Linked DNA regions of Daphnia pulex. The protein of the gene in region 2 interacts with the protein of the main gene of each other region in a pairwise test. Links are inferred from orthologs where the notes say so. Each region holds a gene or a part of one and is shown on either strand. Other genes may lie near its edges. The genes, in order: triple functional domain protein-like, neogenin-like and E3 ubiquitin-protein ligase TRIM9-like.

What was found.
Region 1: the proteins of neogenin-like (region 2) and triple functional domain protein-like interact in a two-hybrid assay, tested with the Caenorhabditis elegans proteins (2 studies listed by BioGRID). The link is inferred for Daphnia pulex from reciprocal best matches to the Caenorhabditis elegans genes unc-40 and unc-73.
Region 3: the proteins of neogenin-like (region 2) and E3 ubiquitin-protein ligase TRIM9-like interact in a two-hybrid assay, tested with the Caenorhabditis elegans proteins (2 studies listed by BioGRID). The link is inferred for Daphnia pulex from reciprocal best matches to the Caenorhabditis elegans genes unc-40 and madd-2.

The regions. Positions count from the first base shown.
Region 1 is NC_060021.1:7,042,068-7,045,723, forward strand, and holds part of triple functional domain protein-like, read left to right. Parts: coding exon 1-3; intron 4-122; coding exon 123-282; intron 283-452; coding exon 453-526; intron 527-793; coding exon 794-1,028; intron 1,029-1,237; coding exon 1,238-1,432; intron 1,433-1,528; coding exon 1,529-1,851; intron 1,852-3,656.
Region 2 is NC_060026.1:12,669,858-12,672,914, forward strand, and holds part of neogenin-like, read right to left. Parts: coding exon 2,957-3,057; intron 2,877-2,956; coding exon 2,552-2,876; intron 2,460-2,551; coding exon 2,095-2,459; intron 1,923-2,094; coding exon 1,767-1,922; intron 1,696-1,766; coding exon 1,533-1,695; intron 1,464-1,532; coding exon 1,269-1,463; intron 1,058-1,268; coding exon 1,016-1,057; intron 867-1,015; coding exon 693-866; intron 611-692; coding exon 356-610; intron 1-355.
Region 3 is NC_060021.1:7,813,289-7,817,053, forward strand, and holds the end of E3 ubiquitin-protein ligase TRIM9-like, read right to left. Parts: coding exon 3,611-3,765; intron 2,570-3,610; coding exon 2,421-2,569; intron 2,308-2,420; coding exon 2,169-2,307; intron 2,092-2,168; coding exon 1,867-2,091; intron 1,796-1,866; coding exon 1,623-1,795; intron 1,448-1,622; coding exon 1,190-1,447; 3' UTR 568-1,189; downstream 1-567.

The DNA.
Region 1 (3,656 bases), on a different chromosome or scaffold from region 2:
CGAGTACGTTTGTTGTTTTTTTTTTTTTTTTTTTTCGCCTGCGGTTTTCTTTTTCCAACCCAACGCCAACACGATAACGAGATTTGAACGACACGATGATGATGATGATTTGTCCTTTGCAGCGTCTTCCTGCAAGCCATTGAAAAGTGCGGCGAGAACGTGGGCGAGTTGGGGCCTTTGTTCAAGCGCTCCGAGCGCAAGCTGCACATGTACATCGTCTATTGTCAAAACAAAGCCAAATCCGAGTACATTGTCTCCGAGTACATCGATACCTACTTTGAAGTGAGTCTGCCTTCCTTCCCGTTTAACACCTTCCTCATTTCCTAATCCCGACACCGTCAAGTCGCCAAAAAAACAACTTTGGTTTTTCCAGTTATTGATTTTTCTTTTTTCATCATTCCCGGTTTTTTTTTCTTTGATTTTATTTTTTCGCTTGGCATATCTCTCTCTAGGAGCTGAGACAGCGACTCGGCCACCGTCTGACTATCTGTGATCTCCTCATCAAACCCGTTCAAAGGATTACCAAGTATGGCGTCTTCCTGACCCCGCAGAGTTATTTTTCTCCCATCTTTTTGTCTCTTCTTGTTTGTGCCGTTTTTCTTCAAAGGAACCTTTTTTTCTTTCTTTTTATCTTCTTCTTTCTTCTCCGAGTAGAAGAAGATAAGACAAAAAGAAAACGGGCATAGTGGTGAAGTGCCGTGTTTGGGAGGAGAGGGGGGGAATAAGTTTTGTGCCAGGTGCAATTCATCAATCCGTTTGTTTGTCCGTCGTTTTTTTCTTTTATCTTTTTTAGGTACCAGCTGCTGCTGAGAGACTTGGTTCGCTACACTGAGAAAGGGCTAGACATTCTCGCCCGGCGGAGTAGTGACGACGATGTGAGCGCTAACGCCGCCACCGCCAACACGGACCACCTGCGCAGCTCGCTACAGGACGAGGTGGACACGCTGTCGCGGGCTCTCCACATCATGACCATCGTGCCCAAAATGGCCAACGACATGATGATGGTCGGCAGACTCCAGGGTTTTGACGTAAGAATTTTTTGTTTAGTGGGGAGGTATTTTCAGTTGGGAACGTGCCCAGCACAGCGGGATCATTCATCTCTTTTGTTTTGTTTGTTCTTTTTATGTCTTGGCTCTTTTTTTTCCCCCCCGCTCGTCCGTTCATCCATCCATCCGTCGTCTTGTCTTTTCGGCTGACATGGCTCGTCTCAACGGCGACAATACGCGGACCAAAACAGGGGAAAATAACCGCCCAGGGCAAATTGCTACTCCACGGCCAGCTTTACTGCTGCACGGAGCTGAGCAAAGTGCCGTCCAAAGAGTTCAAGGAGCTCCAAGTCTTTCTCTTCGAGCAGGCCATCATTTTCAGCGAAATTGTCGGCAAACGCACGCAGTTTATCCAGCCCGTCTTCATTTACAAAGCTCACATTCAGGTACTTATATTGGGATTCTCGCTGGATCCAGACGTCAGACTGACTAGTGAATTATTGATTCTATCTTCCTTGTTTTGTTTGTTTCTGTTTTGACAGATGAACAAAATGTCGCTGGATGAGAAATTCGAAGTGGGAGAGGCCGGAGAGCCGCTCAAGTTTTTAGTCAAATCAACAGATCCGAGACACACGAGCACCGGCGGCAGCGGATCGGGCGCATCATCCAGTGGTGCTCATTGCGCCTTCGTCTGTTACGCACCCAATCCCGAAGCCACCAACGAGTGGGTGGAAACCATTAAACAGATCCTCCAGTCGCAACGCGATTTCCTCAAAGCCATCCAGTCACCCATCAAGTACCAGAATGAGCAGCAGAGATTGAGCGGAGCTGGTGGTGCCTCCGGAAGTCTGGCCAGCCAGCATTTGTAAGTGTTCGCCTGCAGTGATGATGAAACGCCATCTCTCGCAAAATACCAAAATACCAAAAAAACAAACAAACACAAAAACACAAAAAAAAAAAAATCACGCGTACATATGAAATATTATAATTGCCCAAAATACTTTCACACACTCCAACAACCAACGCAAAAACAAACAAACAATCCTGCTGTTGCTCTCTCATTAACCTCAAATAGTTCCTCGCCGTGTGTCCAATCCCACACACACACACAGAACGCAATCCTCGTTTTCAAGTGAAGAGATGAGAAGAAGAAGTTGATTGAAATTAACATCCGCTATTTGCCACCACCACCATCCACAACCATCCAACACACACCACCAACCAACACATTAAAAAAAAAAAACTTTGCTCGGCTGTTGTAGCGGGATTCTACTTACATAATTATTATACCACCTTAGAACCAACTCCCTCGGGGCTGGGAGTAATTCTTCCCGTTAATTTCTTTCTTTCTTGCTCTCTTTCTCTCTATCTTTCGAATAACGTTTTTCTCTTCTAAATTGGGACGGATGGATTTTCTTTTTGTTGTTTTCTGTATTTACCCAACACCCCTCTCCTAACTGTCTTTCCATCTCTCCTGGTGTAGGAATTAAGTAGCAGCAGCTTTGCTCCTAATTCCTCAATTTGTTTGTCCATCAAGAGTAGACGGGGGGTAAAAAGAGTCGAAATTAGCCGCCATTAGCCACTCTAGGGGGGGAGCATAACAATTCCGGCACACACATTCTTTATTCTAAATCTTCTCTCTCTCGCTGCGAGAAAATGTTTTTCATTTTTTATTTTTCCCCCAAGAAGGAAGGAAAAATCGATTTCTATTACGTGTGTGCGTGTGTGCGTGTTGAGTGTTGAGTGTGTTTGAATGTTTAACTACCACCACCACCCAAAACAGAATTTTCTTTATCTCGTTGAAAACAAGGCTCCGGACGAATGAATGATTGCGTCACGTTGTCATTTGAAAATGGGGAAAACAAAAATCAAGTAATGTCAATAGAAGAGCATCTTTTTAAAAATTCAATTGATTCTGATCATGATTGGCGAGAACAGACAAAGAAAAAAAGCTAACGGTGGAAAATTAGTTTTCTTCTTATTTTTTCTTCCTTTCTCTTCTGACAAGCAGAAAGAATTATTCTATTCGTCTCCTTTTTCCCTCCTCGAAAACTAAAAAAACAAACAAAACAAAACACTGTAACAAGTAGACATTTCCCTCTCTTCGGTGTATTGTGTGTATATATCGTATAATTTTGAATATTATATCGAACGAATCATTTTTTTTTCTTTCATTTTCTCTTCGTCCCTTATAAAAAAAAACGAGATTTATTCTTTTTTTCTGCTCCCTCCCACAATTTTCATCCATTGTTTCCAAAATTTAACAAAATTTCCCTTTTCCTATATACTCCTAACCGGTATCTTTGACTGGATTAGTAAAAAAAAAAAAATTAACATGGTGGTTCTCTTTATTGTATACACAAACAATTTCATATTATACCTAATAAGCAAAGGAAGAAGAAAAAAAAAGAAACAACTTGATTGAAAAAAAAAGTTGAAAGAAAAGTTTTTTTTTCTTCTTTTATTTCTTGTAATTTTGGAGAGCGAAAAAAAAATTTACTTTCGATGCACAATGTATCACACTGTATAATAGTATTTTGATTCGGCTTGGTTCTTATTGATCATGTGGGTCCTTCTCTCCTCCTCCCTCATTCCCGTAATTCCCTTTCTCTTTGTTCCGCGTCTCCTATTTTTTAATTACCTTATAATGGGGGAAGTCAAAAAGGAAAG
Region 2 (3,057 bases):
GGGCGGGCGGGGTAGTAGGAAAGCGAGTGCGGGTCATCAAGGGGATTTCAGTTGATTTTTTTTAATGCAGAGGTTAAAAAGAAAAAAAAATGCAAAATGATAAATAAATAAAAAAAAAATTAAAAACCAAACAGAAAAATCAAATAATTGCAGAGTTTCAACAGAACCGAGCAAAGCCATGCACAAATTAGATCAAAAATTAAAAATAATTCAAATAAACGAAACCAAAAAAAAAAGTAATAAGGCCAAAATCAAATGGAAAGCAGATTTCATCTAATGTGAACAAAGTTGACGGAAATGCAGAAAGAAAAAGACCAAAACGTCATCGACTGATGGCCATGTCTCCCCGACATACCTGCATAAGCTGTCACGTAAGCAGCCCGGCGATCGAGCGAGTCGTTGGCTGCCGTGCTGGGGCCACGACCGGCAGTTGATCCGGAGGCCATGCCGTCCAGGGAGTCCAGGTCTTGAGATCGGCGCATGTTGAGAGGTGAGACCGTGTTGACGGAGCCGGAACGGTGCAGGGATTTGTCTAATCCTTTCATCTCCATCTGGTCGTGATGGATCCAAAGGTCGGGTGGGTTGTCAGCCTTGCCCAGTTTGCCTGGACCTGGAAAAAATTTAAATTGTTAGTAATGATAACGATAATTTGACACAATCAAAGTCAAAAGAATTCTGGCCAGTTTTATTACCGCCTTTGACGTTGCCTTTGACGTAGCCTTTCTTGGAACGATCCGGAGAGTTGGTCACTCCGGAATCTCTGCGGCGGAAGACAACCACCAGCACGACAATGAGGAGGATGACTATGATACCAGTAGCGATACCCAGGATGATGTACAAGGTCATACTGGATATGCCTCGACTATCTGTTGAGTTGAAAAGGGACGGAGAAAAGAAAATGAAAAATTAAGAAAATTCCGGATGGATTAAAAGATTTCTATAAACTAAAAAAAAAAAAATGACTTTCAAATCAAATAATAATGAATGCAGGAATCATGCTGCTAAAGGAATTTACCTCTGCTAACCGGAGTAGCGTCGTGATAAGTCATACCGTTGCCTAAATTTTAAGACCACAGGGAAGGACGGTAAAATAAACAAAACGAGAAAAAAAAGGTTGAATAAAACAAATACTCGGATCATGCCAAACGATAATGAATCAATTGATAAAGACTACTAAGGGGAAAAATAACAATGAAATGCATCAACAAGCAAAATCAAATAATAAAACAATCAAAACGATTTAAAAAAAGAAATGAGCAATGACGTACTTGGATTGGTGCGGAATTGAATAATGCTGGAGAAAGGGCCGTATCCTTTGTTATTTCTGGCCTGGATTTTGATGAAGTATGCGGTATCTGGTGTCAGGCCTTTGATGGTCGTGGTCATCTTATCCCCGACGACACCTTCAACCACCCAGTCTCGATCACGCTGCGAGCTGTCTGTCGTGTAGAAGATGACGTAACCTGGAGAACAAGATTCATTCATTCGTATCATTTAATAACAAAAAAGAATTAGCCTCCTCCGATTCTTACCGGTAATTTGACCGTTGGGTTGCTTGGGCGGCTGCCAGTTCAAGTTAATGGCCGACGGATTCTCCTCGACCGGAACGACCGTCAGATCGCGTGGCGGCGACGAAGGAGCCGCTTCGAATGTTGTGTTTGGAACCACCAAACTCCAGGGACTTTCTCTACGATTCTATTTGAGATTTTAAAAAAATAAATTAAATAAACACTTTTCTCAAAATAATTTAAACAAATGTTTTTTACCTTGATGACTTTAACGGCGAATTCGAATTGAGTGTTGGGTTTCAAATCGTCCAGCATGCAATTGAGCACTGTCGAGTTCATGTAACGGTAGCGCGGATTGCTCGACGTGTGGCTCGAAGTGTACCTCACGACGTAGTACCGCGAGTCGGCGACAGTCTGAAAAAAACAGCAAAGAGAAATTTTCGGTTACAATTTTTTGGGGGAAAAAAGTAAAACCGCAATTTTTCCTTTCCCTTTCGACATTACACCAGAAATGAAAATGAAAGTTTCGTCCTTAAAACATTCAAAGTTGTTTGGCAATGGCCATTGCAATTTTAAAGTAGTATACCTGACTGCGAGGCAAGGTGGTATCCGTCCAGTAGAGGACGACGGTGGTCGACGACAACACAATGGCTTTCAATCCGACGGGCGGAATGAGGGGACTGGGCGGCTCGGGGGTTGATTCCTCGCGCGTCCGCACCGTCTCGTAGATGGGCCGCCCGTCTCCCATTTGATTGTAAGCCCTCAAACTGATGACGTACTCTGAATTGGCTTCCAGTTTCTCAATGACGAACGCCCGCTGCTTGCCGTCCACCAGTTTCGAATAAACGTCCGGAATGCCCTTGCCCCAGCCGATCGTGTAACCGCGGACCATGACGTTCTGGTTGCTGGGCGGATTCCACGAAACGCTAATCGAATTCGTCATCGGTCGAGCTGGATGGAGGTCAACCGAAAATTGTCACGTTTTAATCATCCGAAATCTGTTTGATGAATTTATCGGCCCGACCCGAGTTATTTATTCTTACCTCTCAATGAGCTGGGCGGCTCCGGCACTTGGCTCTCGTCCAGGTCGTTTTCGAAAGTTTCGGCCGTCATCCATTCAGTCATGGGACCGGAACCGTTGACAGTTAGGGCAGAGACACGAACTTGATACTCGGTCCCGCGCACGAGTCCAGTCAGCGTGTAAAGCCGTCGGCTGCCGTCCGTCGTGGCCGTCGACCCGGCGTTGGACGAGCCGGGATTCAAAGGCAAACGTCCACGCCCAGTTTTGGGCTTGTAACGGATCTTGTAGCCGGTGATGATGCCGTTCTGATTCTCCAACGACGGCGGCTCCCAGCGGACAATGACGCTCTGATTTTGAATGAATTAAAAACACAATTCAATTACAAATTTGAGCCGGAATTTAAAAAAATTAAAAAATAATTTCATACCGAAGAGCTGGCCGGTTCGACGACGACGTTCTGTGGCGTGTCGGATGGCAGATCGGACCAGGTCCTGGCGGTGGCCTCTTCGGTGCTGGTCCCGGGTCCAT
Region 3 (3,765 bases), on a different chromosome or scaffold from region 2:
GTTCTTTTATATACATCCATGTAGTTGAATAGAGCTGAACTCGATCGTACTTAACCTTTTCCGAGACCTGTCAAATCCAGACGGTCTCCCAACCAGAAACGATTTAGGAATTCATCGATATGATACGGGCAACAGGTTTCTTTCGTTCGTCAACAAAAGTGAAGAATCAGAATTTATCCCCCCAGTATCCTATTGGTTGTCGTTCCGTTTTCTGTAGTCGTCATCACGAAGCTTTATCAAGTTAGAGATACGACCGGTAGGATCGAGAAATCCTGGTTTTGCCCTCGAGGAGGAGCTGGTCGGCGTCGAAGGGACCCACCAATCAATAACTTCCAAGCTCCCCTCGTTCTCCTTGTCTCTCCTGTCCCCCACTCACCCCTCTTATTCCGTATATATACACATACACATATATATAGTACCCTCTTTGTGTGTGTGTGTTTGCCCGAATAAATGATTAAAGGTAGGAAGAAAGAAAAACAGGAAAAACGGGACACAAATATTATATTCCCGGACGTTGTTGTCCTGACAGCGCACTCGACTTGGTTAAAGGAATCAAAAGAAGGGCGAGTTCTTTTTTTTATTTGGTTTTGTTTCGTGCTTGTTCTTTTCGTTGACGCCGCCCCCTCTTTCATGCGAAAGAAAAAGCAAGAAGGAAACAACAAAAAAAGAGTTATCGACATGTTGTGCCATTATTTTCGTACCAGATAACAGAAAAAAAAACAAGATGAGAGAGATTCATGTCATCGCTTCCGGATGATGCACCATCAGTTTCAGAAGAGGGCGAGAAAGAGATAGAGAAGAGTGACAAACATACGTTATTACATTACACCATTTTCTTGTTTTTTTTTTTCCTTTTTTTTTGGCCCAGATTTATGTAGTACACACACACACACACACAAACAGATTTTTGAAAAAAAGCGGCCAGGATTCATCTGGCCTTTTTAAAATAGCAAGGTATATATATATAAATATTCCAATTACAGAAAATAGAAAAAAGATTAGAAATGGGACACTCGATGCCATTCGTCTGAGGTCGTTTTTTCTCTCCGACACTGATACAACAGGATTATTAATGACTGTACAAAAGGAGTCTGAGAGAGTTGAAATTAGTTTTGGTATGATTGGGTACTTCTTTGATAGGATATAGTATATTGTATAAGAAAGTGAAGGAGGAGCGCCTATATCTCTTCTAGAGGGCCGCCACGGCGCATGTGAGTGAGGTGATGGAGTCTGACGGGTTATTGGTGGCGCCGTTCATTCGCTCCGATCCTAAGACGTCGCCACCGGCGCCGATTTGATGGCCCTCGTCACTTTCTTCGCCGCTGTCTGGAAAAGAAGACGACGAGGGCGGAGGATCCAAGGCCGAATGGAGCGTGACTTGAACGTTGCGATTGAGCGAGACGGCCGGGTAGAAAACGCCGCAGAGGTCGACGAATGCCACCGTTCCCTGTTGTGTGCGTATCGACCGATCCCCCCACCGCCGAAATGAAGCCCAGACAGACAGACAGACACGAAAATAAGAGAAAAAAAAATGCAAATTGAATAATCAATGGTCGTACAACTCTCTCGGGTCGGATTTGAAATTTTAATCTGATTCATGTTTTTTTGTTTTCGCGTTATACCTGAGGCTCTTCGTTGACGAAGAAACTCAATTGACGCCGGTCGAGGTCGAGCAGGACGCCAACTGTGGAACCGACGTCGATTCCGCCGTCGGTTCTGTGACTGTGCACGTTATTGTGCAGGAACCAGGAGCGTTGGTGGTCGATGTACATGGACCAACCTAATTCGTCTTTACCTATACACAACAACAGCAAGGAATTATTCGCATGATTGCTCGTCGACATTTTAATAATAATCCTTTAATACCGAGCATAGAGTCTCTGGTGACGTCTCGGCGGGCGACGCCGAAGGCCGGATCGGCCGCTCCGTCGTACCGGTCGACTGTAAATTCCCAGTAGTGAACGCCACGGGAGAAACCGACCGAGCTGAGGAGAACGCGGGGCTCGTAGCTATCGGTCGTGGCCGTCAGTCCGTCGGCCGAAAGGCGAGTTTCGGCCGGATAGGCCGTCATGTCGAATGTGAACCAAGCCACTGTGAAAAATAAATGGGCGTCGTTAGGAGAAAAGAAAAATCAAAATTTCTTTTGGGGGTTTTGTTCCGTTTTTCACCTTCAGCGGTGTGAAGTCCGAGAGGATCGCTGTAGGGCCCTTCCCCGCTACTGTTGAAGGCTTTCACGCGGGCGTTGTAAAGAGAATTGAAATGCAGGCCGTCCACTGTGCAGATGGTCTCTTTGCCGCAGTAAACCTCCTGCAACGAAAAATATCGCGTGAGAATTTGTTAATTATATTGGCGCTGGCGGTGATCGTTATTTTTCTCATTTTTATTTGATTTTCGTGTGTTTGTGTGTGTGTGTGACTTACGCGGAAGCGGCCGGTGGCGACGCCTACGCCGTCGTCCAATTCGAGGACGAAACCCTCGACGAAAGAGGCCGGATGCGGTTGCCAGGCTACTGTGATTGAATTGTTTTCCGCGCTGCAATCCTCGGCCAGGATTCTCGGCGCTCCGGGAGCTGTGAAAAGATAATAAGCGCAACGAAATTATTATTATTCAAATTCAATTACTCGGTATTGAACCCTCGTCATCTGCTCTTAGTCTGACCGCACCCGTAATGCGATTTTGTCTTATCTCTCTATCCATTCCAACTTGGTCTGAGCTATCCTTTTTCTTGTCTTGTCTTGTCTTGGCGTTTGATCGTTTATTACGGTGCAACTGTTTCCAGTCAATCAGAATGCGCCTCTGCGTGCCCGACTCGCATGTCAAGTAGTTGCCCGTAATTCGATTGCGTACGCCCGTGCCACCCGTGCCGCCCGTGCTGGCCGCCGCGCGACTGACCGCTTCCAAGGACGAATGACTTTTGAACCGTTTCTCTCTCAGACACAAAGTTTTGTGTTTTATACAGTTGATTCCAATTGGAAAGAGTGTGTGTGTTTGGTGTGACTCTCGTCGGCTCCCATGGTAACTCCGGCTCTGCCCTGTGACAATTCCCACTACCCTCCCACAAAGAAGAAGAAGTAGAAGGAGAGAGAAAGACAATCTAATAGAGTTTGCGATTTCTCTTCATCTAGGCCGATATAGCTTGACATCAATAAGAAACGGCCCGGTTACTTCTCTCTGTCTTCTTGCCCCGCGCGAGTTAAAGAGTATCCGTCTTCATTTGACGAAAAGAATCGCCGGCATGGACTTGTGGCGCTTGCAACTAGAGAGTTTTTTAGAGGGGATAGAGAGAGGAGACTTTATGTATGTACAAGTCTACAGTCTGGTTGAAACTGTTGCGTGCGGGATCTTCATTAATCATCGGGACCTCCAACTCCCCGCGCGCGGCAGCCAAGCGGGAAGTTTGTCATTAACTTTTGGAAGTCGGATCGACCCGACCAGTGGGGGCTGTACATATAGTAGATGTTAAGACAATGAATCCCTCCCTATAGCCCTTAGCCCTTAGTCTTAGCTACAGCAGGAAGATATTATTACATTCCATAAACTTATCGTCTTGAAAAATATACTACGTAGTGCTGCACATATATATCGAGTCTAGCCGACTAATAAATATTACGTTTCATTTCTAGGAAAGTCAGCTGATCAATGTTGCGCCGGAGACCCAAGTCATCTAGCGTCAGCTCGAGGGTCGGGCTGGCCCGGTTGGTCAATTCGTCCATTTCCTGTCGCCAAGTCAAGTCCAAATTGGAGACGCGGTTGACTAACATCGAC